2 linked regions of the Elephas maximus indicus genome follow. The protein of the gene in region 1 purifies or fractionates together with the protein of each later gene. This does not show direct contact. Links are inferred from orthologs where the notes say so. Each region holds a gene or a part of one and is shown in the gene's direction. Other genes may lie near its edges.

What was found.
Region 2: the proteins of HERPUD1 (region 1) and UBQLN2 purify together in Homo sapiens (affinity purification with mass spectrometry; 3 studies listed by BioGRID, with this or other methods). This does not show direct contact. The link is inferred for Elephas maximus indicus from reciprocal best matches to the Homo sapiens genes HERPUD1 and UBQLN2.

What each region holds. Positions count from the first base shown.
Region 1 is NC_064839.1:23,863,251-23,878,586, forward strand, and holds the start of HERPUD1 (homocysteine-responsive endoplasmic reticulum-resident ubiquitin-like domain member 1 protein), read left to right. Parts: upstream 1-9,539; 5' UTR 9,540-9,630; coding exon 9,631-9,783; intron 9,784-12,283; coding exon 12,284-12,361; intron 12,362-12,448; coding exon 12,449-12,523; intron 12,524-13,345; coding exon 13,346-13,476; intron 13,477-15,336. UniProt on the Homo sapiens protein: Component of the endoplasmic reticulum quality control (ERQC) system also called ER-associated degradation (ERAD) involved in ubiquitin-dependent degradation of misfolded endoplasmic reticulum proteins.
Region 2 is NC_064846.1:111,487,171-111,503,298, reverse strand, and holds UBQLN2 (ubiquilin-2), read left to right. Parts: upstream 1-9,159; 5' UTR 9,160-9,438; coding exon 9,439-11,331; 3' UTR 11,332-12,437; downstream 12,438-16,128. UniProt on the Homo sapiens protein: Plays an important role in the regulation of different protein degradation mechanisms and pathways including ubiquitin-proteasome system (UPS), autophagy and the endoplasmic reticulum-associated protein degradation (ERAD) pathway.

The sequences.
Region 1 (15,336 bases):
TTTGCCTGCTTGGCTTTTAGTAAATCCCCTTCCTGACCCTGATAAGTTGATGGCCAAAAAATGAGATTGGTTCTTGGCTCCTTCTTCCCTTCCTCTTCTCAGAATTTAAACATGAAGGAGGTAACTGTAGAGACATAGCACTGCAGCAGTACGACTACAATCAAGCTGAAAATTTTCCATCGTCCTTTCATTTCCATATGTCCAGAAGCCTCACTTGAGAATGTGGATTTCCCTTCTTCCCATCTTTCTTTTTCTAATCTGCTTGAATTTCTGTCTTTGATAGACACAAAAGAATACATACTGTATGATTTCATTTATATGAATTTCTAGAACAGGCACAACCAAACTGTAGTGACAGAGGCTGATCAGTGGATACCTGGGACCAGGAGTGGTGGGGGTGAGGGGGTTGATGGGGAAGGGGCACTAGGGAACTTTCTGGGATGATGGAAGTCTTGTCTGTCTTGACATAAGTGAGTTACACAAGTGAACACATTTATCAAAACTCACTAACCTATGCATTTAAGATCCTTGTATTTTACTGTATATAAATTATGCCTAAATATAATTAAAAACTAATAATGTCAAAAAGAGTTGGCTTCTGGTCTTGGTCACTTATTAGCTCTGTGACCTTGGACAAGTTACTTAAACTCTCTGGGCCTCAATTTCTTCAGCCGTAAAATGAAAATGATAACAGCATTCTACTTCATAAGGGTGTTATGAGTATTGAATGAACGAATGAAGTCATGCAGAGTTCCAGAAGCTGTGCCTGGCACATGGTAGGCACTCTATAGTGCTAGCCATTATTTTTATTCATGAGCAGTCTTCTTTATCTAATTTCTGTCCATGCTGATGTCTCTCTGCAACTTCTCTTACATGGGCCTCATGTTTCCATTTTTGGTCCAGCTTAATGCCTTTCCACATTTCCTCCTCTTATTTGTTTATTATTGTACTTTAGATGAAAGTTTACAGAACAAACAAGCTTCTCATTAACCACATTTTCTCTTGAATGAAACTGTCAGGTCCCCTGACCCCAAGTCTCTCCCTTTCAAACCCAGCTGGACTGATTGCCCCTGACACAGTTCTGATCATGTCTTTCCCACTGCTGACAAAACTGGTGTCCACAAAATAAGGCTCAAACTCCCAAGGGTGACATGCAAAGTCTTTCCTGAACCTGTCCCAGGAATTCTTTCCAGTCTCACCTCTCAGTGACTTTGTTGTTGTGAGGTGCCGTCGAGTCAGTTCCGACTCATAGCGACCCTATGCACAACAGAACGAAACACTGCCCGGTCCTGAGCCATCCTTACAATTGCTGTTATGCTTGAGCTCGTTGTTGTGGCCACTGTGTCAATCCACCTCGTTGAGGCTCTTCCTCTTTTCCGCTGACCCTGTACTCTGCCAAGTATGATGTCCTTCTCCGGGGACTCATCCCTCCTGACAACATGTCCAAAGTATGTAAGACGCAGTCTTGTCATCCTTGCTTCTAAGGAGCATTCTGGCCACACTTCTTCCAAGACAGATTAGTTCATTCTTTTAGCAGTCCAAGGTATATTCAATATTCTTCGCCAACACCACAATTCAAAGGCATCACTTCTTCTTTGGTCTTCCTTATTCATTGTGCAGCTTTCACATGCATATGATGCAATTGAAAATACCATGACTTGGGTCAGGTGCACCTTAGTCTTCAAAGTGACATCTTTGCTCTTCAACACTTTAAAGAGGTCCTTTGCAGCAGATTTACCCTATGCAATGCAACTTTTGATTTCTTGACTGCTGCTTCCATGGTTGTTGATTGTGGAGCCAACTAAAATGAAATCCTTGACAACTTCAATCTTTTCTCTGTTTATCATGATGTTGTTCACTGGTCCAGTTGTGAGGGTTTTTGTTTTCTTTATGTTGAGGTGCAAACCATACTGAAGGCTGTGGTCTTTGATCTTCATTAGTAAGTACTTCAAGTCTGTCATCTGCATAACGCAGGTTGTTAATGAGTCTTCCTCCAATCCTGATGCTCCGTTCTTCTTCATATAGCCCAGCTTCTCATATTATTTGCTCAGCATACAGATTGAATAGGTATGGTGAAAGAATACTACCCTGACGCACAGCTTTCCTGACTTTAAACCAATCAGTATTCCCTTGTTCTATCTGAACAACTGCCTCTTGATCTATGTAAAGGTTCCTCGTGAGCACAATTAAGTGTTCTGGAATTCCCATTCTTCGCGATGTTATCCTTAATTTGTTATGATCCACACAGTCGAATGCCTTTGCATAGTCAATAAAACACAGGTAAACATCCTTCTGGTATTCTCTGCTTTCAGCCAGGATCCATCTGACATCAGCAATGATATCCCTGGTTCCACGTCCTCTTCTGGAACCAGCCTGAATTTCTGGCAGTTCCTTGTTGATATACTGCTGAAGTCGTTTTTGAATGATCTTCAGCAAAATTTTGCTTGTGTGTGATATATTAATGATATTGTTCTATAATTTCCACATTTGGTTGGATCACCTTTCTTGGGAATAGGCATAAATACGGATCTCTTCCAGTCAGTTGGCCAGGAAGCTGTCTTCCATATTTCTTGGCATAGATGAGTGAGCACCTCCAGTGCTGCATCTGTTTGTTGAAACATCTCAATTGATATTCCATCAGTTCCTGGAGCCTTGTTTTTCACCAATGCCTTCAGAGCAGCTTGGGCTTCTTCCTTCACAACCATCGGTTCCCGATCATATGCCACCTCTTGAAATGGTTGAATATTGACTAATTCTTTTTGGTGTAATGACTCTGCGTATTCTTCCCATCTTCTTTTGATGCTTCCTGCATCGTTTAATATTTTCCCCATAGAATCCTTCAGTATTGCAACTTGAGGCTTGAATTTTTTCTTCAGTTCTTTCAGCTTGAGAAACAATGAGCGTGTTCTTCCCTTTTGGTTTTCCATCTCCAGTTCTTTGCACATGTCATTATAATGCTTTTCTTTGTCTTCTCGAGATGCCCTTTGGAATCTTCTGTTCAGTTCTTTTACTTCATCAATTCCTCCTTTTGCTTTAGCTGCTCGATGTTTCAGAGCAAGTTTCAGAGTCTCCTCTGACATCCATCTTGGTCTTTTCTTTCTTTCCTGTCCTTTCAATGACGTCTTGCTTTCTTCATAGATGATGTCCTTGATGTCATTCCACAACTTGTCTTGTCTTCAGTCACTAGTGTTCAACGCGTCAAATCTATTCTTCAGACGGTCTCTAAATTCAGGTGGGGTGTACTCAAGGTCATATTTTGTCTCTCGTGGACTTGCTCTGATTTTCTTCAGTTTCAGCTTGAACTTGCATATGAGCAATTGATGGTCTATTCCACAGTCGGCCCCTGGCCTTGTTCTGACTGATATTGAGCTTTTCCACCTTCTCTTTCCACAGATGTAGACAATTTGGTTTCTGTGTGTCCTATCTGGCGAGGTCCATGTGTATAGACGCTGTTTATGTTGGTGAAAGAAGGTATTTGCAATGAAGAAGTCGTTGGTCTTACAAAATTCTATCATTCCATCTCCGGCATTGTTTCTATCACCAAGGCCATATTTTCCAACTACTGATCCTTCTTCTTTGTATCCAACTTTTGCATTCCAATCGCCAGTAATTATCAATGCAACTTGATTGCATGTTCGATCAATTTCAGACTGCAGCAGCTGATAAAAATCTTCTATTTCTTCATTTTCGGTTCTAGTGGTTGGTGCATAAATTTGAATAATAGTCATATTAACTTGTCTTCTTTGTAGGCGTATGGATATTATCCTATCACTGACAGCGTTGTACTTCCAGATAGATCTTGAAACGTTCTTTTTGATGATGAATGCAACATCATTCCTCTTCAAGTTGTCATTCCCAGCACAGTAGACTATATGATTGCCCAATTCAAAAAGGCCAATACCAGTCCATTTCAGCTCACTAATGCCTAGGATATCGATGTTTACGTGTTCCATTTCATTTTTGATGATTTCCAATTTTCCTAGATTCATACTTTGTACATTCCAGGTTCCGATTATTAATGGATGTCCGCAGCTGTTTCTTCTCATTTTGAGTCGTGCCACATCAGCAAATGAAAGTCCCGAAAGCTTTACTCCATCCACGTCATTAAGGTCGACTCTACTTTGAGGAGGCAGCTCTTCCCCAGTCATCTTTTGAGTGCCTTCCAACTGGGGGGCTCACCTCCCAGCACTATAGCAGACAATGTTCCGCTGCTATTCATAAGGTTTTCACTGGCTAATGCTTTTCAGAAGTAGATTGCTGGGTCCTTCTTCCTAGTCTCTCTTAGTCTGGAGGCTCAGCTGAAAGCTATCCTCCATGGGTGACCCTGCTGGTATCTGAATACTGGTGGCAGAGCTTCCAGCATCACAGCAACAGGCAAGCCCCCACAGTATGACAAACTGACATACAGTTGGGGGTCAGTGACATTATCATTATTATTATTTTAAAATAAATCCTGTACTTACTGTCACACTTAGCCAGTAGTTCCTAAACCTTGCCCTAGAACCAGAACCCAATTGGATGCATCATGCCCAATTGGTAGGCCTGCAGTGGGACCCAGACAGCTGTCCTTTTTTAATTGTTTTTCATTTTAGAAATTGAGTTATAATTTATGATAGTAAAAGACAGAGGTCTTAAGTGTATAGTTTCATTAGTTTTGACAAATGTATAAACTACTCGTCTATCAACATGAGAGAGCATTTCATCACCCCAGAAAGTTCCCTCATGCCCAGCAGTGTGCTGGTAAAAGTTTAATAACTGGCTCCTTGAGGGAGAAAAAAAGCTCTGATTTATAGCATTTGCTGATCTCTCTGGTGCAAATATTCCCATTTGGCCAATTTCAAGCTATCAACCTGATGTCACTGAAAGCAGCGTTGGAAAGAGGCTCACAATCAACTCCTGAACCGATATAAGACGGCATCGGCACACCACTGCCAGACCCCCTCCCAAACTCTCTCTGCCACCCCCATCCCCAGGCAACCGCTGATCTGCTTTCTGTCACCATAGATTAGTTTTGCTTGTTCTTGAGTTTCATATTAATGCAATCATATAATATGTACTCCTTTGTGTCTGGTCCTTTTGTTCAGCATGGTTTTGAGATTCATTCATGCTGTTGCACGTATCAGTAGTTCATTCCTTTTTGTTGCTGAGTAGTGCTTCATTGTATGGGTATACCAGTTACCAGTATCAGCTGCTGTTGAGTTGAATCTGATTCGTGGTGATCCCATGTGTAATGGAACAAAACACTGCCTGGTCCTGCACCATCTTCATGATTGTTGGCATATCTGAGTCCATTGTTGTGGCCACTGAGTTAATCCCTCTCATCAAGGATCTCCCTCACCCTTGTTGGCTCTCTACTTTGCCAAACGTGTTGTCCCTCTCCACTGATCTGTCCCTCTCAGTGACGTGTCCAAAGCAAGCAAGTTGAAGTCTCAGACAAAATTCTGTAATCCATAGGGTTTTCATTGGCTAATTTTCTGAATAGATTACCAGGCCTTTCTTTCTAGTCTCTTTTAGTCTCAAAGCTTTTCTGAAACCTGTCCACCACGGGCAACCCTGCTGGTATTTGAAATACTAGTGGCATAGCTTCCAGTTTCATAGCAACACTCAAGCCACAGCAGTACCACAAACTGACAGACGGGTGGTAGTTAATCAATAAAATAAAATAAATCTGTTGCCATTGAGCTGATTTTAACTCATAGCAGCAATAGAGGCTGTCATATGTGTGTATTTTTCAAATCCCACCTATCCTCCATCCTGAGCTCAAATTCCACCCCTTCCATCAATTTTTCTGACTCCTCCTCTCTGCCTCTCTCACAGGTCCCCCAGGAACCTATGAGACATTTGGGTTGTCTTTTATTTTTGTACTGTCTTATCATCCCCATTATATTTGTAAAGTCACTAAGGACAAGGTTGTGATTGTTTATCATCCTAGTCCTGGCACATTTGTTGACTTGAATTTTTTTTTCTTTTTAAAACCATTGCTGGAAATTTATTCTAAAGACATAGCTTTTTTTTTTTTTCTAAAACTAATAATGTTGTAATTCAACGTCAAAAGATTTTACAAAACAATTTTGTTGTTAGTATTTATATAATTTGAGAAATACTACATTTAAGTAATTTACAACTATATCACATATTATTCTATGATTAAAATTGATAATAGACATTACTAAGGATTCTTTATGGTCTAGTATGGGAGGAGGTCCATGTGGGGGGTGTTACCATGAGTTACTGCACTGGGTGACATCAACCTGAGTGACGCCACTGGGTGGTCAGAGGAGCCCACCCTGCTAGCTTTCCCCACCCCTTCTTTGCAGCCTTCCCTGCCCTGCAGACCACACTTGGTTACCTCTTGGCTCTCAGAAAAGCGACTGGGCTGAGCACAAGGAGAGGATTGGTGAGCAGAAGGGAGGGCCAGCAGCTCCATCTGTCAGTGGGGCTGGCCTGTCTCACCCAGTGTTATCATCCTGGCCTCACGATGGTCATGAAGTGACCTTCTGTGGCCAGAGGCTGTGTGCTCCCTCTCACCCTCTCAGCTTGCTTTAACACCAGCCTACATTTATTACACCCTTACTGGATGCCAGGCATGTTGCTGAGGGCTTTCTGGGTTTTAATTTCTTCAGTCCTTACAACAACTCTTAGGAGTGGCTGTTATTATGTTCCCCATTTTACGGATGAGGAAATGGAGGCTCAGAGATGGGGAGTGGCTCGGCCAGTGTTGACTTGAATTTAATGTTTTTCTAAATGTGCTATAGACACAATCATAGAAGTGCTTTAAAAGAAGCTCTCTCCTCATGAGATAACTTGAGGGAATCACAGAAATTGGATAACCTTTTCCCCAGCTATTGAGTGGAAACCAATGAGATGTCCTGAGGGGTCCTAATGTTTGTCATACACCTTGAATTTTACTTGGATCCACAATCAATGCCCATGGAAGCAGCAGTCAAGAAATGAAACAACATATTGCATTGGGCAAATCTGCTGCAAAAGACCTCTTTAAAGTGTTAAAAAGCAAAGACATCACTTTGAGGACTACAGTGCACCTGACCCAAGCCATGGTATTTTCAGTCACCTCACATGCATGTGAAAGCTAGCCAATGAGTAAGGAAGACTGAGGAATTGATGCATTTGAATTATGGTGTTGGTGAAGAATACTGAATATACCATGCACTGCCAGAAAAACAGGTCTGGCCAGAAAAATGAACAAGTCTGTCTTGGAAGAAGTACAGCCAGAACGTTCCTTGGAAGTGCAGATGGCGAGACTTTGTCTCACTACTTTGGACATGTTATCAGGAAGGACCAGTCTCCGGAGAAGGGCATCATGCTTGGTAAGGTAGAGGGTGAGCAAAAAAGAGTAAGGTCCTAGACGAGATGGATTGACACAGTGGCTGCAACAACGGGCTCAAACATAGCAAAGGTTATGAGGATGGCGCAAGACTGGGCAGTTTCCTTCTGTTGTACATAGGGTGGCTATGATTTGACTTGACGGCAATTAACAACCTTTGCTACTACAGGCCAGACGAAACCATGTTATGTGGTGTCTTAGTCATCTAGTGCTGCTGTAACAGAAATACCACAAGTGGATGGCTTTAACAAAGAGAAGTTTATTCTCTCACAGTCCAGTAGGCTGAAAGTCCGAATTTAGGGCGCCGGCTCCAGGGGAAGGCTTTTTCCCCTCTGTCGGTTCTGGAGGAAGGTCCTTGTCATCAGTCTTCCCTTGGTTTGGGAGCATCTCAGCACAGGAACCTCAGATCCAAAGGACGTGCTCTGCTGTTGGCATTGCTTTCTTGGTGGTATGAGGTCCCCTGCTCTTTGCTTGCTTCCCTTTCCTTTTATCTCTTGTAAGATAAATGGTGGTACAGGCCACACTCCAGGAAAACTCTCTTTACATTGGATCAGGCATGTGACCTTAGTAAGGGTGTTACAATTCCACCCTAATCCTCTTTAATATAAAATTACAATCATAAAATGGAAGACAACCACACAATACTGGGAATCATGGCCCAGCCAAATTGATACACACCTTTTTGGGGGGACATAATTCAATCCATGACATGTGGCATACTTAATTTCCCAGTGAAGCTGTTATCTCCTGCCTAGCTGTCCCCTCTAAGGCCTCTGCTTGTTTCATCTGGTCTTATCCCATAGGTCAACTTCTAATGAGTAGCAAGACCAGATCATAATCAGTTTTTCTCTTCCATCTTGAGGTATAAAAAGGACCAGCTACATGATTTGTGGGACCCAGTACAAAACGAAAATCTGGGGCTCTTGTTCCAGTTTATTAAAAATTTCAAGACAGCGATGGCAGAGCACTAAACCAAGTATGGGGCCCTGTATAACTAACTGCACAGGCCCGATCCGTGAAGCCAACCACGATGAAAAGGGACAGAGCGAGCCCTCCTCAGCAGACAAAAACCAACCTAGAAAGCTGAGCTTGAGGGCAATTTATCTCCAAGGCTCTCTCCATTGTTCTCAGTATAAAGACAGCTAAGAAATCACCTCATGTTGTTTATATTAAGGCCGCTAGGCTCCTCCTGCTACCCTTCTGTCCTTACCAAACCAAGCCTTGGCTCCCTGACACACCTGGAAAAACAAATGTCCCAACAGGGCTGGAACAAGGATGGGGGCAGTGCAACGTCAGTTTTGCTTTTCAATACATTTTCTCCTCCGGACGGGAAGGAGGGAGGGAGGGAGGGAGTGCCTATGACAGAGAGGCCTTTGTGGTCACATTTTAGGAAACCTCCCTTGCCTCAGTCCCAACTGAAAGGAACCATGTGTGCATATCCTTTTCGAGCGTCTCCCAGTGTAAGCTGGACTGTGGCCTGCTTGCCATTCATAATAAGGATGATATTCCACACTTGAGGGTGTAACGTTCAAGACCAAGAGGCCATAAATTGGTAACAGCCGTTTGGATGTCCTCACCCTCTCGGCCACGAGCCCAGACCACTATGTCTGCGCAACTTCTTCCTTGCCCTTCTAATGCACATCCCGGGCGCACTCCAGGCTGGGCTCGCCGATAGGAGCCACCCAGCCATAGGAGCCACCCAGCCGTTCTTCGAGCTGACTGGCTGTGGAACCGCAGGTCCTCGGGCCCCTGGGAGAACGAAAAGGGGACGCTGGCCTTGGTACCCGGGGTTAAAAAGGGCGGGGGTGCTGCTTTGTGAGGAAACAATCTGCCGAGACTGTGAGGCTGGGGGCCGGGTGGGATGGCTTTCCCTAAGGCGCCCCAGGCAACCTGAGCTACGAAGCTCTCTGGTCGACGCAGGGCCGAACTGCCCCGCACGCCGTCCAACGCACCCAAACATGGCCGCCGAACCCCGGCTCCCGGGCCACGGCCGCGGCTCGGGCTGACGCAACGGCGACGGGTTGCATCAGCCCACGCCCACGTCCTCAGCCCGCCCCAATCCGCGCGCCGATTGGGCCACGTTGGGGCCGTGGCCTCCACCGCAGCCAATGGGCTGCAGCCACAGTGCGTTCTGTCGCAGGGCCCGGACGCGGCGTGCCTATAAAAGGTGCCCGAGGCGGGGCCGCGCGTCCGGGAGACGTGAACCGTCGTCGTTGGGGCCTGGGGGGGTGCGGCGCCGTGTGCCTGGCTTCTCGGAGCGTAGCGGAGCCCACAGCGCAGCCGACATGGAGCCAGATGCCCAGCCTGAACTGGAGCCCCTCACGCTCCTGGTGAAGAGCCCCAACCAGCGCCACCGCGACCTGGAGCTGAGCTGCGAACGCAGCTGGACCGTGGGTCACCTCAAGGCCCACCTGAGCCGTGTCTACCCCGAGCGCCCGGTGAGAGGAGCCCCCAAGCCCTCCTCCCAGGGATGCCCTGTCCGCCTCCGCTTTCCAGTAGCCTCCTCCTTAGTTGTCCTTCCTCCGGCGGCAGTTAAGGCCGCCGGGTCGCCTCCCCAAGGCTGTGGCTTCCCCCCCTTCCCTGCCCGCCGGTACCGTAGGCGCCCGTCTCTTTGCCCGGTGGCTGTCGCCTCCTCTCTCTGGCCGCCATCACCCTGCCTTCCTGACGGGCTGCCGTCTCCTGTCATCTCGCCTCCCCACCTCCCCACTTCCCCAAGCCCCCAGACGCTGTCACAGCCCTGCCCCACCTCCCAGGTCCCTTCCTCTTCGCCCCAGATCAAGGTCCCACCCTTAGCCAAGCCACTGAAACAGCATTTTGACCTTGAGTGAGTCATTTCACCCTCCAGGCCTTAGTTTCCCCAGACGTCTGGGCTACTAGGTGTCCTTATAGGATTGCATCCAATGGATGGAAACAAGAAAATAAAAAATGCCGTGAAATGAATTGTATGAATGTATCGGCTCAGTGCGGAGAGGAGGGTGCAGGTGCCACCCCGCGCCAGTAGCTAGAGCACCAGGCACAGCGTCCTTAAGGTCCCACACCCAAGAGGAAGACGTGGCTCTTCCCCTCCCGGTGCACTTTCCGCCATCGGCCCCTCCCTGTCGCGCTGGACTCTGCAGCCTTTGCTGGGTCCGAGGGAGGAGCCGGGTGCACTTTATGGTCAAGAGTGACTTCGTGGGGAAGCAGGCAGAAGGAGCTTCCTTGAGTCTGGGTTTTACGACTTTGGCCCCTCACTTACGGAGACTTCCTTGCTTTGTTTTGGTTGGCACATCTGTCAACATCACCCTTAGCGCCTCCTTTCCCACCACGTGATGGAGATTGTGCTCTGGACTCTCTTGTATTTACTTTCTCCTCGGATATTAGGTAAATGTCAGCAATGTTCTGTGCTGCCCACGTTTGTAATTCTGGATTAAACAGGAAAGGGCACCGGGGCAGGAAAAAATTGTGAAATTGCTAATCCTTCCCTAGAGGGTTCTGGTATGTGTAGCTCCTGTGTTAGGTTGTTTTTGTCGTTAGGAGTGTAGAAGTGGATTTTCTTTCTGAGTTGTTATTTTGAAATTCGCTCATTTATTTAAGTTTCTATCTCAGCGCCGTTTAGAATTCACCTTGGCATTCTTTGCGGTTTTATGGTAGCTGCTCCCAAGAAGCTAAGTGGCTGTTTGGCTGTGAGAATGGCAAGTAGGTACACAAACTGGGAAGCAGGTGTAGTTTCTAGTTGCATCATAGGGTAAAAGGCAGTGTTGTGGAGAAGCATTTTCCTTGAGGACTTGCCCTGGTTAGGAACATCGCTCTTAATAGGTGTGTTTGAAGACCCAGAGTTCTAAATAAAACATCCTCTCAGCTATACAAAGTTACATCTAAAAGTTAGGATGCCTGGAGGACGTTCTTCATTTTTTTTTAGGCGGGGGGAGTATAAAATGGTATAAAGTGAGAAGCTTTATTTTGTAACAGTTGTTTGTTTAAGATAATGTATTTTTTTTCAGATGGCGTCTTCTGGGTAAAGGCATAGAATGTCAAGTCAGGCCTTTAAAAGAGAAAACAATTCAGATCCACAGGCAGCTGTTACTACAGGGCGCTAGTTTTCAAACACAGTTCTAGTGGCAGAAATCTTCAGTATAATGCAGGGTCCCACATATATCGTAGTATTTTACAAATTCATATATATGGCATTTACTTATAAAGTCAGCCAGTGAGAACAGTGGTGATCGCTGCACCCAATAGAGTTCTGCATTTTGTTGTAGTTCCACAACGTCCAAAATCCTGATTTATGCAGATAAGCACACATAGTTTTTGTTATTTTCTTTCGTTGGTTTTAAACAGCGTGCTTTATAATCTCGGGCTTGTTAGCAGGAACAGCTTTGTTCCAAGTTTTGCGTCACTGGCTATTCTGACAAGAGTAGGTTGACAAGTTGGTGAGTTCCAGTGTACTCTGGTATATATCATTGGGGCCATTGTTTTTAAAAGTAAGGTTTTAAAAGAAGTGCAAAATACATTAAAAATCTATTTTAAAAGTCAGTTTTGTATAAAAGTGTGTTAGAGTCGTTACGGTTTTAAAATCCCTGGTATGGAGGAGAAGAGGGATTGGGATCTTGACCTTGGACAAGTCAATTTCTCAGAGTTTCTCCCGTGAAGGTAGGGATACTGACTCCCACAAAGTTGTGTGGACCGTTTCCCACTCACCATCTCCTCTATAACTGCATATGTATGTGAGGAAAAGCCTTTGAGGACTTCAGTTTAGAATTGCTGCATGTTATTGATCAGTTTAAAGTTAAGCACTTTCTAAATAAAAAGTTCTGTGTATGAGGCCTTTGAAAAAGTGTTTTCCTATAGGGGAAAGCACATATATTCTGATGATTTGTGTGAAACAGTCCTTTATGTGTTTGGGAACTTGTTGGGGCCGAATGCTGCTGACCTGTGTGACTCTTTCTTTTCCATGATAAGCGTCCGGAGGACCAGAGGTTAATTTATTCTGGGAAGCTGTTGTTGGATCACCAGTGTCTCAGGGACTTGCTTCCAAAGGTACATCGCTTACACATGAACTTTTGAATGTCTTAAGCACTTACCAGATTGAATTCGGGTTCTAAAGTGCCTCCTTAATACTTTTAGCAGGAAAAACGGCATGTTTTGCATCTGGTGTGCAACGTGAAGACGCCTTCAAAAACACCAGAAACCAGTGCAAAGGTATGTCTGGTTTTTCATGACGGGAACAATCTTGTCATTCAGGCTCTCAAGGGAGGAATAAAGAAGGTAGGATAAAATTCTTTACGAGAGATTTTATTGTATTTTTACCAGGTGACATTTTTTTTCTTCCTCAGTGAGTATCAGGAATTAGGAAATCTGTTATCAGCGCCAGTGAGAGTTTCCTGTAATATAGCAGACTATTCCATTAGGATTGTAGTGGAAAAGCAGAGTTACACATCACACTGTCTCCTGGGGTGTGATTTGCCCAACAACTATGTACCAGAATCACCCAACGAGCAGGGCGCACAACGACGACACTCATTTATGATTGACAGTCAATCATTTATTTTTTTGTTTCACAAGGATTATTTGCGTATGTATAGTATTAATGTTTAGACATGGTGACATTCTCTAAGTTTGCGTTGCCATTGCATTTCCTAAAACATCTGAATGTAGCATAGGAAATTCTCTTTCCTTTAGGTTGCTGGTTGAGTCAAATTAGTAAATTTAGCATCTGTAAGACAGATAGAGCATTATCTAAGCTTTCTCACCAATGATAACTTCGTTGGAAGACTTTAATGAAACTATAGGGTAGTTACTCTAAGGAAAAATAAAGATTTTTTTTAAGTATCCATATATTGAAAATTGGGTTGAACAAATTTCAGGACATTTTCTTACATACCATTGCACCTATTTAATTTTGTCAGGTTCAGAGGTTTGGGTGGGGGTCCTAAGCCATTCACAGCAAAATCAGCCTTTTAGCTTGATTTCACACAGTTGCATCAGATCCTTTGTTCTGATGTTCGCATTATCCTTATTTAGGTTGCTGAATCCACAGAGCAGCCCACTGGTCTTAATCAGGGACAGTACCCTGGGGATTCCTCAAGTGATGGTTTAAGACAAAGGGAGGCTCTTCGAAACCTTTCTCCCTCTGGATGGGAGAACATGTCTAGGTGAGTGAGTATTATAAAGGACTAATTTATACAACAGGAGCGTGTAACGTTAGCAAGAATTTAAGAATAACATGTTTTTATACACACAGAGTCACAAAACATTGAAACACACAAAACTTTATAAAGGGGTTCATGTATGTATTTAATTTTTCTTTATGCACAGCCTTTTCAGAACATGTAAAAAAGTCAGAGGCTGAGTATGGAAAATGTAGGCATCTGTCCCTCCGACCTGGGTGTGTTTACATTGTGCTGACCCCTCAATTGCCCCGAAGAAGATTGGGAATTCCTGCCTAATTCCCGCCGCTGCAGGGAAAAAGCAATTGGTCATTGGCATCTTGCTGCTGCTTTGCTGGTTGGCTTTGTGCTTTGTTTATTGTAACAATGGGTGACAAAAGGTGAAGAGACTTTAAGGAGTGCTCTGCCAAGCACTGTGTTGGCGATACAAGGAAAAAAGGCCATTTCTTTAGAGCAAAAGCCAGAAGTGACTAAATGTCCTGACACTGGGGTTTTCTAGCCCTTGGAGGAACACCTGATTATGGAAGTTCCTACAGAAAAAAATAATCTGTTAACTGAGTTGAAATTCTGAAACTTTCCTACTCACCTCCCCCTAGTAGTTTTCTACTAGTTTTTAATACTTGTGTTTTGATAAAGCCAGATGTTTGAGGCATTTTCTTTTTCTTAATGAAAATAAAAAGAAAACTCGAACATCTGGCTTTATCAAAACATGAATATTAAAAACACAGAAGCAGAGGGAACTGTATAACATCAACATACCCAGGCCCAATAAACGATCAAAGCTTCATCATACTTGCTTCCTCTAGTACCTGCTTCCCTGTTTGTGTAAGTGTTTAGAAGTCAGTCCCAGCTATCATGTTGTCTCATGTTTTAATATAAAAAAAAAAATACAGCTGTAAAAACACTTTAGTTATTTCGCATATCTATAATGCCATCATCAGATATAACTAAATTAATGAAAGCTCTTTGTTATCATCCCATCTTCATGCACTGTAGCTTTTGTAAATGATCAAAAATAGTATCAGACCAAGACCTATTGTATTAGAGGACTATTTCAGAAACACTCAGGGTATGGGATCTGGTTAATAGACTGTCAGCATACAAATTGGATAATTGGATATTCTGGTTGTGTGACTTGAGAGTTGCGGCCCATGTCTTTGCGAAGTTCACCGTATTAAAACCAGGTGACTTCATTCAGCAGGTATTTATTGAACAGCCAGTACATAGAGCTTTCCTTAAAGATATATATTGGCCTGCACAGATGACCACATAACCAGCCCTGGATCTTCCCATAAGTCTACCATAATTTCAGTGCTGCGAAGTGCTGTCACAGGAGCTCTGTGTGAGAAGCACGGAGCCAAAGATGACCCCCCACCCCCCGGCCCATGGCAGTATAAGGCTGTGTTGCCTGAAAGAAGTGTGAGTTTGGCACCAAAGAAAACCAGGTCTCAAATCCAGCCCTGTCACTAACTAGCTTAGTGACCTTGTGCCAATCTCTTGTCTTCCCTAAGCTCTACTCGGGCTCCCCCTCGGTATAGTGGGGGTGAGATGACCCTCCCCACAGGGTCATTTGGGGTCGAGTGAGAATAGATTGAAGGTGCCTGGCCCAGCAGCCTGTACAGGACACCAGGTGGTCAACAGCACACACAAGTGATGCCACATGCACACATAACTGGCTCCAATAATGAGATCCAGGACCAGAGAAGAGGCAGAGATCTGTCAGGAGAGGCTTTGTGAGAAGGGGCTTTAGAGCTGCCTTCTAAAGGATCAGCAGTGTATTTGGCCTGCAGTGAGACTAAGCAAGGCAAAACGTGAGGCGGGGATCCGCTTAACCTGAAAAGGTCC
Region 2 (16,128 bases), on another chromosome or scaffold:
TCTGACTGTATATTTGCCCCCTGTGTTCATGAGCAGGACTGGGGAGCAATCATGAAACTTCCCTTAGGTTCTGTAGATAACACTCCAGGAAGACAAAACAAAAACAATTGCCTTCCAGTCGACTCCCACTCATGGTGACCGCATGTGTGTCAGAGTAGAACTGTGCTCCAAAGGGTTTCCAGTGGCTGAATTTTCAGAGGTAGATTGCCAGGCCTTTCTCAGGAAGACAGCACAATATTTGATTAGTAGGGTCACCTCCAGACTTCAACAGCAGGGATTTTTTTTTTTTTTTTACCATTACAATGTGTCTGTTTCTTCTGGTGCCAGTTAGATTTTACCCAACAATATTTTTTTTAATAGAATATAGAATACTGCCTCTACTCCAGGTATAAATTTACCAAGAAGTTTTGTCACTTTGGGCAAATATATAGCTACATTCTTAACCATACTCATAAAAAAAAAAAATACATGCATATAAAATGAAATTTTACTCTATAGATTATTTTTCTGCCATTTACATTATTGTCAACATTTTTCCTATTATTGCTGCAGGGCAAATTCTTTCAGGTTGACCATTAAAATTCATAAAAAGGAATTGCTCAATAAAATTTTCTACGTATTTTATTAAGCTTTTGGTGTTTATTAACAACTTGCCCTTCAGATAAGTTGTAATTACCAAGAAACCTAATCACCAGAGGAGTATGAAGTACCTGTTTTCAATAATAGCAATAACAGTAATAATATTCATGTATTGCTTACTATGCATGAAGTCCTGTTCTAAGTGCTTAATGTATGTTAATTTACTTGATTCTCAAAACAACACTTCATTTTCTAAATGAAGCATATTGAGATATAGAGAGGTTAATTATTAAGTGTGATCATATTATCTCTGGCATTGTTTCTATCACCAAGGCCATATTTTCCAACTACTGATCCTTCTTTGTTTTTTCCAACTTTCGCATTCCAATCACCGGTAATTATCAATGCATCTTGATTGCATGTTGGATCAATTTCAGACTGCAGCAGCTCATGAAAATCTTCTATTTCTTCATCTTTGGCCCTACTGGTTTGAATAATAGTCATATTAACTGGTCCTTCATGTACGCATATGGATATTACCTTATCACTGACAGCGTTGTACCTCAGGATAGATCTTGAAAAGTTCTTTCTGATGATGAATGCAACACCATTCCTCTTCAAGTTGTCATTCCCAGCACAGTAGACTATATGACTGTCTGTTTCAAAATGGCCAATACCGGTCCATTTCAGCTCACTAATGCTTAGGATATCTATCTTTATGCATTCCATTTATTTTTGACAATTTCTAATTTTCCTAGATTCATACTTTCTACATTCCAGGTTCTGATTATTAATGGATGTTTGCAGCTGTTTCTTCTCATTTTGTGTCATGCCACATCAGCAGATGAAGGCTCTGAAAGCTTTACTCCATCCATGTCATTAAGGTTGACTCTACTTTGAGGAGGCAGCTCTTCCCCAGTCATCTTTTGAGTGACTTCCAACCTGGGGGGCTCATCTTCCAGCACTATATCAGACAAGGTTCCGCTGCTATTCATAAGGTTTTCACTGGCTAATGCTTTTCAGAAGTAGACTGCCAGGTCCTTCTTCCTAGCCTGTCTTAGTCTAGAAGCTCAGCTGAAACCTGTCCTCCATGGGTGACTCTGCTGGTATCTGAATACCGGTGGTATAGCTTCCAGCATCACAGAAACACGCAAGCCCCCACAGTACGACAAACTGACAGATTGACTATACACATGGGCCTTGCCAGATGGAACACACAGAAATCAAATTGACTACATCTGTGGAAAGAGACGACGGAAAAGCTCAATATCATCAGTCAGAACAAGGCCAGGGGCTGACTATGTAACAGATCATCAATTGCTCCTATGCAAATTCAAGCTGAAACTGAAGAAAATCAGAGCAAGTCCAGGAGAGCAAAAATATGACCTTGAGTATATCCCACCTGAATTTAGAGACCATCTGAAGAGTAGATTTGATGCATTGAACACTGGTCACCAAAGACCAGACGAGTTGTGGAATGACATCAAAGGCATCATCCATAAAGAAGGCAAGAAGTTATTGAAGAGACAGGAAAGAAAGAAAAGACCAAGATGGATGTTAGAAGAGACTCTGAAACTTGTTCTTGAAAGTCAAACAGCTAAAGCAAAAGGAAGAGTCGATGAAGTAAAAGAACTGAACAAAAGATTTCAAAGGGCGGCTCCAGAAGACAAAGTAAAGCATTATAATGACATGTGTGAAGAGCTGGAGATGGAAAACCAAAAGGTAAGAACTTGCTCAGCGTTTCTCAAGCTGAAAGAACTGAAGAAAAAATTCAAGCCTCGAATTGCGATAGTGAAGGATTCTATGGGGAAAATATTAAACAATGCAGGAAGCATCAAAAGAAGATGGAAGGGATACACAGAGTCATTATACCAAAAAGAATTAGTCGATGTGCAACCATTTCAAGAGGTGGCACATGACCAGGAAGCGATGGTACTGAAGGAAGAAGTCCAAGCTGCTCTGAAGGCATTGGTGAAAAGCAAGGCTCCACAAATGAATGGAATATCAATTGAGATGTTTCAACAAAGGGATGCAGTGCTGGAGGTGCTCACTTGTCTATGCCAAGAAATATGGAAGACAGCTTCCTGGCCAACTGACTGGAAGAGATCCATATTTATGCTGATTCCCAAGAAAGGTGATCCAACCAAATGTGGAAATTATAAAACAATGTCATTAACATCACGTGCAAGCAAAATTTTGTTGAAGATCATTCAAAAACAGCTGCAGCAGTATATCGACAGGGAACTGCCAGAAATTCAGGCCGGTTTCAGAAGAGGACGTGGAACTAGAGATATCATTGATGTCAGATGGATACTGGCTGGAAGTAGAGACTACCAGAAGGATGTCTATCTGTGTTTTATTGACTATGTAAAGGCATTCGACTGTAGGGATCATAACAAATTATGGATAACATTGCGAAGAATGAGAATTCCAGAACACTTAATTGTGCTCATGAGGAACTTTTACATAGATCAAGAGGCAGTTGTTCGGACAGAACAAGGGGATACTGATTGGTTTAAAGTCAGGAAAGGTGTGTGTCAGGGTTGTATTCTTTCACCATACTTATTCAGTCTGTATGCTGAGCAAATAATCCAAGAAGCTGGACTATATGAAGAAGAACAGGGCATCAGGATTGGAGGAAGACTCATTAACAACCTGCGTTATGCAGATGACACAACCTTGCTTGCTGTAAGTGAAGAGGACTTGAAGCACTTACTAATGAGGATCAAAGACCACAGCCTTCAGTATGGGTTACACCTCAACATAAAGAAAACAAAAATCCTCACAATTGGACCAATGAGCAACATCATGATAAACGGAGAAAAGATTGAAGTTGTCAAGGATTTCTTTTTACTTGGATCCACAATCAACAGCCATGGAAGCAGCAGACAAGAAATCCAAAGACGCATTGCACTGGGCAAATTTGCTGCAAAGGGCCTCTTCAAAGTGTTGAAGAGCAAAGATGTCACCCTGGAGACTAAGGTGCGCCTGACCCAAGCCATGGTATTTTCAATCACATCATATGCATGTGAAAGCTGGGCAATGAGTAAGGAAGACCGAAGAAGAATTGACGCTTTTGAATTGTGGTGTTGGTGAAGAATAATGAATATACCATGGACTGCCAAAAGAACGAACAAATCTGTTGTGGAACAAGTGCGGTCAGAATGCTCCTTAGGGGCAAGGATGGCGAGACTGTGTCTTACATAGTTTGGACATGTTGTCAGCAGGGATGAGTCCCTGGAGAAGGACATCATGCATGGCAGAGTATAGGGTCAGTGGAAAAGTGGAAGACCCTCAACGAGGTGGATTGACACAGTGGTTGCAATAATGAGCTCAAGCATCACAACCATTGTAAGGATGGTTCAGGGCCGGGCAGTGTTTCGTTTTGTTGTGCACAGGGTCGCTATGAGTCGGAACCAACTCGACGGCACCTAACAACAACAACAGTGTATAAATTTGACGCTGAGTTCATCCACATAGTACCACATGAATCAAATATCATTAAACAGATGTTTTGTTAAGAATGCAGGTTCCTGGATATCATTTATATCAGTAGGTTTGGCATGAGGCCTAGAAATCTGCATTTTTAGACAACTCCTCAGACTACTCTTAGTGATTCTCATTGTCATTATTTCTAAATTCACTCTAATAAAATCTTTGTTTTGCACTTTTTCTCAAGTGTTTGGTTTTTTAATTTCCAAGTGTTTGGATTTTTTACTTACATTTTCATTATTAATATCCAGGTTTATTCTATTGAGGTTAAAGAAGGTGGCCTGTAACATTTTCTTATTTTTCTCTTTAGTTTTTTGAGAAATTTAAAAATATAAAAAATATAAACAGTATTTATTATAAGAAATACTCATATTCCCACTACCTAGAATTAACTATTGCTGATATTTTGCCATATTCACTTCCACTCTAAAAATGAAACACATTTTTACAAATTTAATTCAAGATCCGTTTAATCACTATCCTCTATGCTGTTCCATTTCCTTCTCCTTGTGGGAAACTACCGGTGCAATTTTTGTATAAATCACTCAAATATACTTCTTTTTTTGAATAATAATTTTTGTGTTTTCTGTGAAGATTTACACATAAGCTTAGATTGTCATTCAACAATTTCTACACAAGTTGTTCAGTGACATTGGTTACATTTTTCGTAATGCGTGAACATTCTCATATTTCCATTCTGGTTGTCCTGTTTCCATTAATCTAGTTTCCTTGCCCCTTACATTCTCATCTTTGTTTTAAAGTTATTGTTGACCTTTGGTCTCATGTAGGTGGCTTTTTAAAAGAGCACCGTACCTAGTGGTGGCATTCACTACTTTTTTTTAGCCAATTTGTTATTTAGCTACAAGGAGACTTCAAGGATTAGTTTTGGTTCAAGGTTTGAGGAGTAACTCAGTACAATACACTCGAGGAGTCCTCCAGTCTCAACCAGTCCAGTGGATTTTTTTTTCTAGGAATTTGCGTTTCTGTTCCACATTTTTCTCCCATTCTATCATGGCCCTGATTAGAATTGCTGGTAATGGCAGTCCAGCACCATCTAGCTCTTCTGGTCTCAGGGTAGATGAGGCTGTGTTTTATGTAGACTATTTGTCCCATAGACAAGTTTCTGTTTTGAGTTTTGGGTTTCCTTCTTTCTCTTTTGCTCCGCACAAGTAGAGGCCAATAATTGTATCTTAGATGGCCGTTCACAAGCTTTTAAGACCCCAGGCACTACTCACTAAACTAGGGTTTAGAACATAACTTTATGAATTATATTATGCCAATTGACTGAGATGTCCCATGGGACTACAATCCTAATCCTTCAAATCCAGAAATCTAATCCCCCAAAGATATTTGTTTATGTGTAAAAAGTATCAGTAACTGTGCCACCTATGTGCTTTATTATATATATGAATGTATGTGCATACAGTCACACAGATTCATACACATATGCAAACTCCTATATATACACATATATATACCCATACATAAATATGGAGCCCTAGTGGCTCAGTGGTTAAGCACTCAGCTGCTAACCAGAAGGTTGGCAGTTCGAACCCACCAGCAGCTACAAGGTAGAAAGATGTGGCAGTCTGCTTCTATAAAGAATTTACAGCTTTGGAAACCCTATGGAGAAGTTCTACTCTGTCGTATAGGGTCACTATGAGTCAGAATCTAGTGGAATATGTGGCAATGGGTTTGGTTTTTTTTTTTGGTGTTATACACAAATATGCCTACATACATACATATATACCAGCACATATATTTTTTGGTTGTTTTTACTGTTGTTTCAAAAATTATACATGCAGTAGCAATTACCAGTATTTCCTTTTTATTTGTGTACTTTTTAATGACATTGTTTAATTTTGTCAAGCTGTGTACAGTTCACTCTCATTTGGTATTACCTTTTCCTTCACCAAAAAAAAAAACAGGTATCTACTACCTATAGAGTAAATCTCGACCCCCCCCCCACCCCCCCGCCTCTTGCCTCCCATCCCTGGTAACCACTAATGTGCATTGGTTTCTGTTTATTTACTTGTTCGTGTCATTTCATAAAAGTGAGAACATACAGTATTTACTGTTTTGTGATTGGCTTATTTCACTCAACATAACATCCTTCAGGTTCATCCATCTTCCAAGATGTTTTAGGAACTCATTTTTCTTTATCACCGAGTAGTATTCCATGTTCTGTACATACCACATTTTACTTATGCATTCATCCTTTGATGGGCACTTAGGTTGTTTCCATCTTTTTGCTATTGTAAATACCATATTTTTATGCCCTCCGCCCACCCCCACCCCCCTCCAGACACCCTCACAAGGGCAAGCCAAGCCAGTCCTCTTCCACTTGTTGCTGCAAAAAAAATTAGCATAGCATGCTTTTGAAAATACCTGGGGTGGGGGAGAAGGGAGGGAGGGCGAGGCCAGCAAAAAAAACACGGAAGGCACAAGTTATTTGAGTAAAAATGCTGTATGTGCTATGATGAATACAGTTGTGCATATGTCTGTTTGTGTCACTGCTATTAGATCCCTAGTGTATATACCTAGGAGTGGAATTGCTGGGTATATGGCAGCTCTACCTCCAGTTTTTTGAGGAACTGCCAGGCTGTTTTTCCCAATGGCTGTGCCTTTTTGAATTCCCAATAGCAGTGGATGAGGGTTCCAATTTCTACACATCGCTTCCAATTTCTACACATCGCTTCCAATCTAGTATACTTTTAATAATTTCACATACACATGAATTCATCTATAAACACCTAGAGTATTGTTTTTCATGTGCTAGTTAGTTTTCAGAAACCCTGGTGGCATAGTGGTTAAGTGCTACCGCTGCTAACCAAAAAGTCAGCAGTTCCAACCCACCATGTGTTCCTTGGAATCTCTATGGGGCAGTTCTACTCTGTCCTTTAGGCCACTATGAGTCGGAATCGACTGGACGGCAATGGGTTTTTGGGTAATTAGGTTTCTGAGATTTATACATATTGGAACATTTAGATCTGGTTCATTTCTTTTACTTACTGTATACTATTAATCATATTCATCATACTATGTTAACCCATTCCCGATTTATGGACATTAGGCACCATATTTTTTTTTCTTTGTCTTGAGATTTATTAAGGTATCTGTGGCCTAATGACTTCAAATGTTGTTACATACTCTTTGGATACTAGCGTAAAAATATTTCTATATACGATTTTTATATCAGAGTTAGATATTTATACATAAATTTGAAATTATTTCTTTTGTTATTCAAGTTCTCTTTCTCAGCACTGCTACATCTTTATTTCTCCAACTTAATCTGTAAAGAAGTTAGGTAAATGTGTTAATGTATGCCACTACAATTTTGTGCCTGTGAATTTCGACCTATAACCTATCCCTGAAATAACTTTCTGATTTTCAAAAAGTTATACATCCAGTGCCTACTTGTAAAAGCCATCAGAAAACTGAAAATCTTATAAGAAGATAAGAATTGTACATAATTTCAGCATTCAGTAATAAGCATCATTAACATATCAGTGTACAGACCGTCCCCAGGTTACAAAAAAGATCTGTTGTAAGTGTGTCTTTAAGTCCAATTTTTAAGTAAGTCAGAACAGGTACATGTATGGTTCTTATTTAGCGTCAGTTAGTAAAATGTTTGTCTTAGTATATAGTATATATTGCACTTTTTTATGCATATAAAAGACTTAAAAAACACTTCCAAACCCACAATGTTTTCATGAGTGTCACAAAGTAGTGCCTGCGTTTCTGTGATTACAAACCATTGTATGTATTTAACTCAAATTTTTAATATAATAGGGTTTATGGCAGTCCATTCTTAAGTAGGAGTTGTCAGTAGGTTAGCCATTCTAATGCGGGGACTGCCTGTATAGTGTCTGACTTACTTTTATACATACACATACAGTTTACATACACAAACTATTCAAAAATTTATTTTAAAAGTGTCTTTATTGTATTTTTGGTATTAAAATGTACATTCTTGTAAAAATTTTAACTATAGAAATACATAAAGTGAAAATAGTCTAGGATCTCCCTATAACTAATGTCTGTTTCACTCAGGATTAAAGATTGTTTATATCATATAAATAGTCATTTCTAAAAAACATGATGCGTATGATTTTATTGTAATATCATCATACATTTGACCATTTCTGTGTAAAGGCACTGTCTTTTTTAAATAATAATTTTATACATGTGTATTTTTGCATCGTTATCTGATTATTTTCTTAGCCCAGGTCTCTAGTTGATGCATTTCTAAATAAAGGTGGACATATTTAAAATGCTGATCGTATTTTCAAATAACTGTAAAAGGATTATAACAATTCACAGCATGAAAGTGCATTTTCTCAACTCCCTGCCAATGGTAAGGTTTATTTTTCTTCTTAGCCAACAAAAGCCAAAAATGGAATTTCATTGTTTTAATATCAATTTCATTGATTGCTAGTGAGTTTGATCATTCTTTTCTGTCTGTTGTCCCTTTGCACTTCTTATGTAAAACGCGTGCTCTTGCCCAGTCTTCTCCCCTTCCCCCATTAGCGAGTGTTCCTCTTTTCCTTTGTCAGAGTTCTTTATTATTCCTTTTTCGTCTTTTGCAGAGACTCTTGGATTCAGGCTTTCCGTCTTAGATTCCGACTCAGAGCGACCCCATAGGGTTTCCAACGCTATAAATCTCTACGGAAGCCGACGGCCACATCTTTACTGTAGTGGCTGGTGGTTTCGAACTTCCGACCTTTTGGTTAGCAGCCAAGCGCTTTAACCACTGCGTCATCAGGGCTTCTTTTATTGCCTTACAGACTGCTAATATATATTCTCCGTTTGTCTTCTAATGTCCTTTACAGACACTTACTTCCTTCACTCCCTCCCTCCCACCCTTCCACTCTCCTCTTCTCCCTCTCCTTCTTCCCCTTTCTTCCCCTCTCCTTCTCTCCCTCTCTGCCCCTCTCTCCCTCTCTCCCCTTCAGTACAGAAGTTTTTAATTTCGACCGAGTCAATTCTATCAATCTAGGCCTGGCAACGTCAACTGGGCGGGTGGGGGGGGGGAGGCGGGCTTAGAGCTGGGGGAGGGGAAGGGGCGGGGAGGAGCGGGCGGAGCAGTTTGCAGGAGCTGCTGGGAGTGCGCGCGGTGGGATCACACGGCGGCTGCTGAGGCTCAGAGCCCTGAACGCGGATATCTCGGCCCGCGGCCTACGCCAGCCCTCTCACCACCACCACCGGAGGACCAGGGAACCGCAGCCTTCAACTCAGAGGTACGGTGCTAAGCGCTCCCCACACGGTCCGGCCTAGCCTGCTGTGGCGGCGCCTCCTTCTTTCTTCCCTCGCTCTCTCGCTCACCAGCCCGCGCCTTCCCTGCCTGCCTGCGTCACCGCGGCCGCCATGGCTGAGAACGGCGAGAGCAACGGCCCCCCGCACCCCTCCCGCGGCCCTGCTGCGGCCCAAGGCTCGGCCACTGCCGCCGCGGAACCCAAAATCATCAAAGTCACTGTGAAGACCCCCAAAGAGAAAGAGGAGTTCGCGGTGCCCGAGAATAGCTCGGTCCAGCAGTTTAAGGAAGCGATTTCAAAACGCTTCAAATCCCAAACCGACCAGCTAGTGCTGATTTTTGCCGGAAAAATCTTAAAAGATCAAGATACCTTGATCCAGCACGGCATCCATGATGGACTGACTGTTCACCTTGTCATCAAAAGCCAGAACCGACCTCAGGGCCAGTCCACGCAGCCTAGCAATGCCGCGGGAACTAATACTACCACGGCATCGACTCCCCGGAGTAACTCCACACCGATTTCCACAAATAGCAACCCATTTGGGTTGGGGAACCTGGGAGGACTTGCGAGCCTTAGCAGCCTGGGCTTGAGCTCGACCAACTTCTCTGAGCTCCAGAGCCAGATGCAGCAGCAGCTCTTGTCCAGCCCTGAGATGATGATCCAAATCATGGAAAATCCCTTTGTTCAGAGCATGCTTTCGAACCCCGATCTGATGAGGCAGCTCATTATGGCCAACCCACAGATGCAACAGTTGATTCAGAGAAACCCAGAAATAAGTCACCTGCTTAACAACCCAGATATAATGAGGCAGACCCTTGAAATCGCCAGGAATCCAGCCATGATGCAAGAAATGATGAGAAATCAAGACCTGGCTCTGAGCAATCTCGAAAGCATCCCAGGTGGCTACAATGCTCTGAGGCGCATGTACACTGACATTCAAGAACCTATGCTGAATGCTGCACAGGAGCAGTTTGGGGGTAATCCGTTTGCCTCGGTGGGGAGCAGTTCCTCCTCCGGGGAAGGTACACAGCCTTCCCGCACAGAAAATCGAGATCCACTACCCAACCCATGGGCGCCACCACAGGCTACTCCGAGTTCTGCGACCACCAATACCACTACAAGCAGTGGGAGTGGATCTGGCAGTAGCTCCAGCAATACTACTGGGAACACAGTGGCTGCAGCCAATTATGTCGCCAGCGTCTTCAGTACCCCAGGAATGCAGAGTCTGCTGCAACAGATAACTGAAAACCCCCAGCTGATCCAGAATATGCTGTCTGCACCCTACATGAGAAGCATGATGCAGTCCCTGAGCCAGAATCCAGATCTGGCTGCACAGATGATGCTGAATAATCCGCTGTTTGCTGCAAATCCTCAGCTGCAGGAGCAGATGCGTCCACAACTCCCAGGTTTCCTGCAGCAGATGCAGAATCCAGACACGCTAGCAGCCATGTCAAACCCAAGAGCAATGCAAGCTTTAATGCAGATCCAACAGGGTCTGCAGACATTAGCCACAGAAGCACCTGGCCTCATTCCAAGCTTCACTCCAGGTGTGGGGGTGGGGGTGCTAGGAACTGCCATAGGTCCTGTAGGCCCAGTCACTCCCATAGGCCCTATAAGCCCCATAGTCCCATTTACCCCCATAGGCCCCATTGGGCCCATAGGACCCACTGGCCCCGCAGGACCCCCTGGCCCCGCTGGCTCTGGTGGCCCTGCTGGCTCTGGTGGCCATACTGGGTCCACGGTGTCTAGCTCTGCACCCAGTGAAACCACGAGTCCAACATCAGAACCTGGACCAAACCAGCAGTTCATTCAGCAGATGGTGCAGGCTCTGGCTGGAGCAAATACTCCACAGCTGCCGAATCCAGAAGTCAGATTTCAGCAACAACTGGAACAGCTCAACGCAATGGGGTTTTTAAACCGTGAAGCAAACTTGCAGGCTCTTATAGCAACAGGAGGCGACATCAATGCAGCAATTGAGAGGCTGCTGGGCTCCCAGCCATCCTAATTACATTTCTGTACCTTGAAAAAAAACGTATCTTATTTTTGATAATGGCTCTTAAATCTTTAAACACACACCCGTGCTTTACTTTCATTTTGATTCTTTTAAATCTATCTGGTTATAAATCTAATATGATGCATTTTAAGGTGGAGTCCCTTCCCTTTCCTTCCCTTTTTCCTTCTGTTTCCTTCCTTCTCTGTTGTGAATGGTGGGAATCAATACTGTTTCACTCAGAAGTGCTGCATGCAAACACTTCTTTTTACTCTGCATTTATTGTGATTTTTGGAAACAGGTATCAACCTTCACAGTTGGGTGAGCAAGTTTTGTCCTACAGATGTCCAGTTTATTTGCATTTTAAACATTAGCCTGTGATAGTAATTTAATGTGAAATGAAGATATTAGAAGCAAACTATTTGAAGCACTCTAATTTGTGGTATAATATTGCTTATTGTGAGTTTGGCATGTATTTTTGCTAGAAAAATGCTGTAAGATTTATACCACTTACCTTTTTTGCTATATTTGTACACAGTACAGTAAGCACAATTGGAACTGTGCATCTTTTAGAGATTGCAATAGACTGAGCAGAATATGTGTAACCAAAATGAGAAAGAATAAATATTTCTGAAACTAAGTACTTCTCCCAATTTTGTAGAATCTTACAGCATCTTTGATGAACTCAGTGAAAATGTTGGCTAGGCAAGTTCAGTTAAAATATAGTAGAAATGTTTATCCTGGTTATCTCTAAGTATACATTTAATTGTACAGAAAACTGTCAGTGTAACATTGTGTCAGCACTTACAGATTGTATATGATCTTAATCTTTGTGCAACCTGAAGGATCAGTGTAGTAATGCCAGGAAAGTGCTTTTCACCTAAGGCTTTCTTCTCAGCTTCTTCGATAAAGAGACCCTAATATGCATTTTGATTTGTAATTGGAAATGTAACTTTTCCTGAAAGTGTCATGTGGTGTTTGAATTACTTCTAACTGATATGTATAAAGGAAACTGTATCTTTTGACTTTATCAGTTATTTCTCTTGTGCACAGGGAAAATGCATAAAAAATGACTAAAAAAATAATAAAATAATAAAAAATGGATAAATCCTTTCCTTTTTGCCTTCTGGCCTTAGGATCATGTTTTGAAGGGTTGCCCCACCTCAAGGTTCTGTAAATCTTATCCTATATTTCTTTCTTTAACTTATCATTTTATTTAAAAAAAAAATTATTTTTGGGCCAAATGGAATTATTTTGATGTACAAGCCACCTTATTGCCATCCAGTTGATTCTGACTTACAGGACTCTGTAGGACAGAGTAGAACTGACCCCATAGGGCTTCTAAGGCTGTAATCTTCATGGAAGCAGACTGCCACATCTTTTCTCCCTCAGAGTGGCTGGTGGATTCAAACCACCCACCTTTTGGTTGGCAGATGAGCACTTAACCACTGCACCACCAGGGATCCTGATGTATAGATTTAGGTATTCTAACTCTTTTTCCCCAAAGGATTAGCCTGCTATTAGCCGGTAGTTCATCTCCTTCCATTTGAACTTTCATTTGTATATGTATATATACATTTTTTATACATTTAATACACTTTATATAAAGTGTATGTATATATACACTTTATTCTGTGTTTGTATTCTTTTTAGTATCACTGAACTATCTGAGTAAGTCATCTGAGTAGCCTGAGTACATCAGCCTCTAGTTATTAGAAATAAGACTTCATATCTTGAGTCCTCCTCTTGATCACTTTTTTTTTTCATAATTTTCTGATGATCCTGACGTGTTTATTTTAACCGATGAACTTTACAGTTAATAGATCCCCCCCCAAAAAATAAATTGGAAATTTGGTTATTGCCTCAAATTGATAAGATGTTGAGAACAGAATTGCAATTCTTTCCAGAAACACAGTATGTTGCCTCCATTTTAAAAAGCTTTTTACATCCTTCAAGGAAGTTTTAAGTCCTGTATAATTATTGATACTGCGAGTGGGAGCCCTTACTCATTGTGTTACCTATATGATCATGGTTGGAGAGGAATTTATTTTCATAGATTAAAATTAGACAATTTATTAAAGTATTAATATATTAATTTCAAAGGTATTCAGTTGATCCTTTTGGATTTTCTAATAGGCAATCATATATCAATGATAAGTTATAATACTATGTTCTTTGCAGAATTTATGACAGTTTCTGACTGCATGGCTTAAACACTTCCAGAGTAGTGCTAAGTAATAAAGGTGGCAGCGGCATCCTTATCTTTTTTCTCATTTTAACCAGATTACGTTTGCTGCAACAATCCTAAATTGTGTTTTGTGAAACATCCTTCTGAGAGATGATTAAGCAATTAAGTTTGAAAAATGCTGTATACTACATATACTCTTTCTTTGAGATTTATTGTACAATAAATGTTGGCTAATGTTATTTTTTAATGAGTAAGTTCTTACAATTAAAAAAAAACTGTTAACTTTTTAACTCAGCATTTCCCAAACTTACTTGAGTAAAGGACCACTTTTTTTCTTTTAAACACACCTAGTAATATTTGGCCTACCACTGTTCTTCAGAAAACCAACTTAGGAAATGGTGATTTATTACTTCACTGCTATATGGTGGTGAGTGTTTGAGATAATCACAAAGTCTGCTGTAATAAATTTTAAAATTTTAACGAAATGGATGATTTTACAGGAAAATACTAAAACCAACCAGAGGCATAAGAGAGCAATAAGTCAATAACCATAGGAGAACCTGAATGCTGTCTGAGGCCTGGCCCAGACAGTTTAGCAGGTAAATTAATTTCAAACATTCAAGAAACAGAAATCTTAATTTGCCAAATGTTTATCTATTTTTAATCTATTTTTGTTTTTCTCCCTGAAAAGATCCAAGTCTTTATTAATTCTAATGTTTCTCCACTTTCCAGCTCATAAATTTTTGTTTGTAACTTTAATTATTTTGGCTTCTTTTTTATTGCTTTTAACTGCTCTTCTTCGATCCTTTGCATAATGTAATTTTCTCCTATTATGTTGCAGGCCCTTTTTCCAGGCTCTGTTGGGTTTTTTGTTGCTGTTAGGCTTTCTTCACATACTATTTATCCATTTATTCATCATTGAGTCAAGAAAGGTATCTATGACCTGCTATCCATTCTCTCCAATAAGAGAATAGAGGTGATTTTCGTATTCTGTCACTGTTTGCTTGGTTGTCACCCCCTCCCCAGGCCTACACTGGACGGCTGGATGGTGTAAGTTTGGTCTAGCAGGGTCAGGTAGTAGGGAGCTAGGGCCAAGAATAACCCCAACAAGAAGATTTCACCCGTAGGCAGCTTTCCACATTTGCCCTTTTGACCTCTGCTTCAGGTATGTGGTATATGAACTCTCACCACTTGTGTGTGGTTGGGGGGGGAAGTGATAATACAGCATTAAAACAAGCCCTGCTGCTGCAGTAAAGAGGAATTTTGTATCAGGTGGAGACCACCATGTTAGGTGAGTAATCACTTCAGGAGACACCTGTAATTGGATGTGGCTGAGCTGGCCCGCTGAGAGGAGGCAGCCTGCTCCAAGTCCTGATTTTCAGTGTCAAGATAGCAATAAGTGGGGTGCATGCAGGACAGGAACTAGTCCCAAAGCCAACTCTTCAGACAGGGATTGGACTGGACAGTGGGTTGGAGAGGGATGCTGGTGAGGAGGGAGCTTCTTGGATCAGGTGGACACTTGAGACTATGTTGGCATCTCCTCCCTGGAGGAGAGATGAGAGGGTGGGGGGGGGTTAGAAGCTGGCGAAATGGACACGAATATAGAGAGTAGAGGGAGGGAGCGGGCTGTCTCATTAAGGGGAGAGCAACTGGGAGTATGTAGCAAGGTGTACTTAAGTTTTTGTGTGAGAGACTGACTTGATTTGTAAACTTTCACTTAAAGCACAATAAAAATTAAAAAAACAAAAAATGTAAGATCACAGTTTCTAGCCAATCTGTGAAAAGGTGAAGCTTTCAATGGTTTTGCCCATTGTGTAGTGTTAATATATACTGATGACTATGAAATGTTCTTCAGACTCAGACATGGCTGTGGCAGCAGGCTTGTCTGTTTTCCCATTCTTGCGTATTCTGAAATATTCTCTGAACTTGGGCAAACATGGCTGTGGTAGCATGCTTGACCGTTTTCCCACCTTTGTCTGCTCTGTAATAGTTCCTTGGATTTGGGCAGACATTAACTCTGGCAGCATGCATGTCCATTTCCCACTCTTGTCTTTTTGAATATATGCTGAATGAAACCTTTTTGATTTTGATGTTTTTTTACCCTACAACAATACAGTGAACTACTTAGTTTGAAGATAACAATTTTTTAAAATTTGAGTAACACTGTTAAAATGCCCTTCGAAGTGTTTGTAACAATTTACACTCTCCCCAGTAGAGGATGGAGGTTCACAACCGTTTTCCTACATTATTAAAAAAAAAATTCTTTTGCACTTTTGCCATACTGATGGGCAAAATGTTATTTTAATTTGCATTTCCCTGATAGCAATGAGGTTGAGCTTTAGTACATTTGTTCTTTGGCCCCTAAAGTTTCTTTTTCCATAAATTGTTTATTCATATCACTAGCCTTTATTTTAATTGAGTTGTCCTTTTATCAGTTGTATGAGCTCTCTGTATATTGTAGATTTTGATCTTTTGTATGTATACAGATAAAACCCACTGCCGTCGAGTCCATTCCAACTCATAGCAACCCTATAGGACAGAGTAGAACTGTACCATAGAGTTTCCAAAGAGTGCCTGGCGGATTCAAACTGCTGACCTCTTGGTTAGCAGCCGTAGCACGTAAC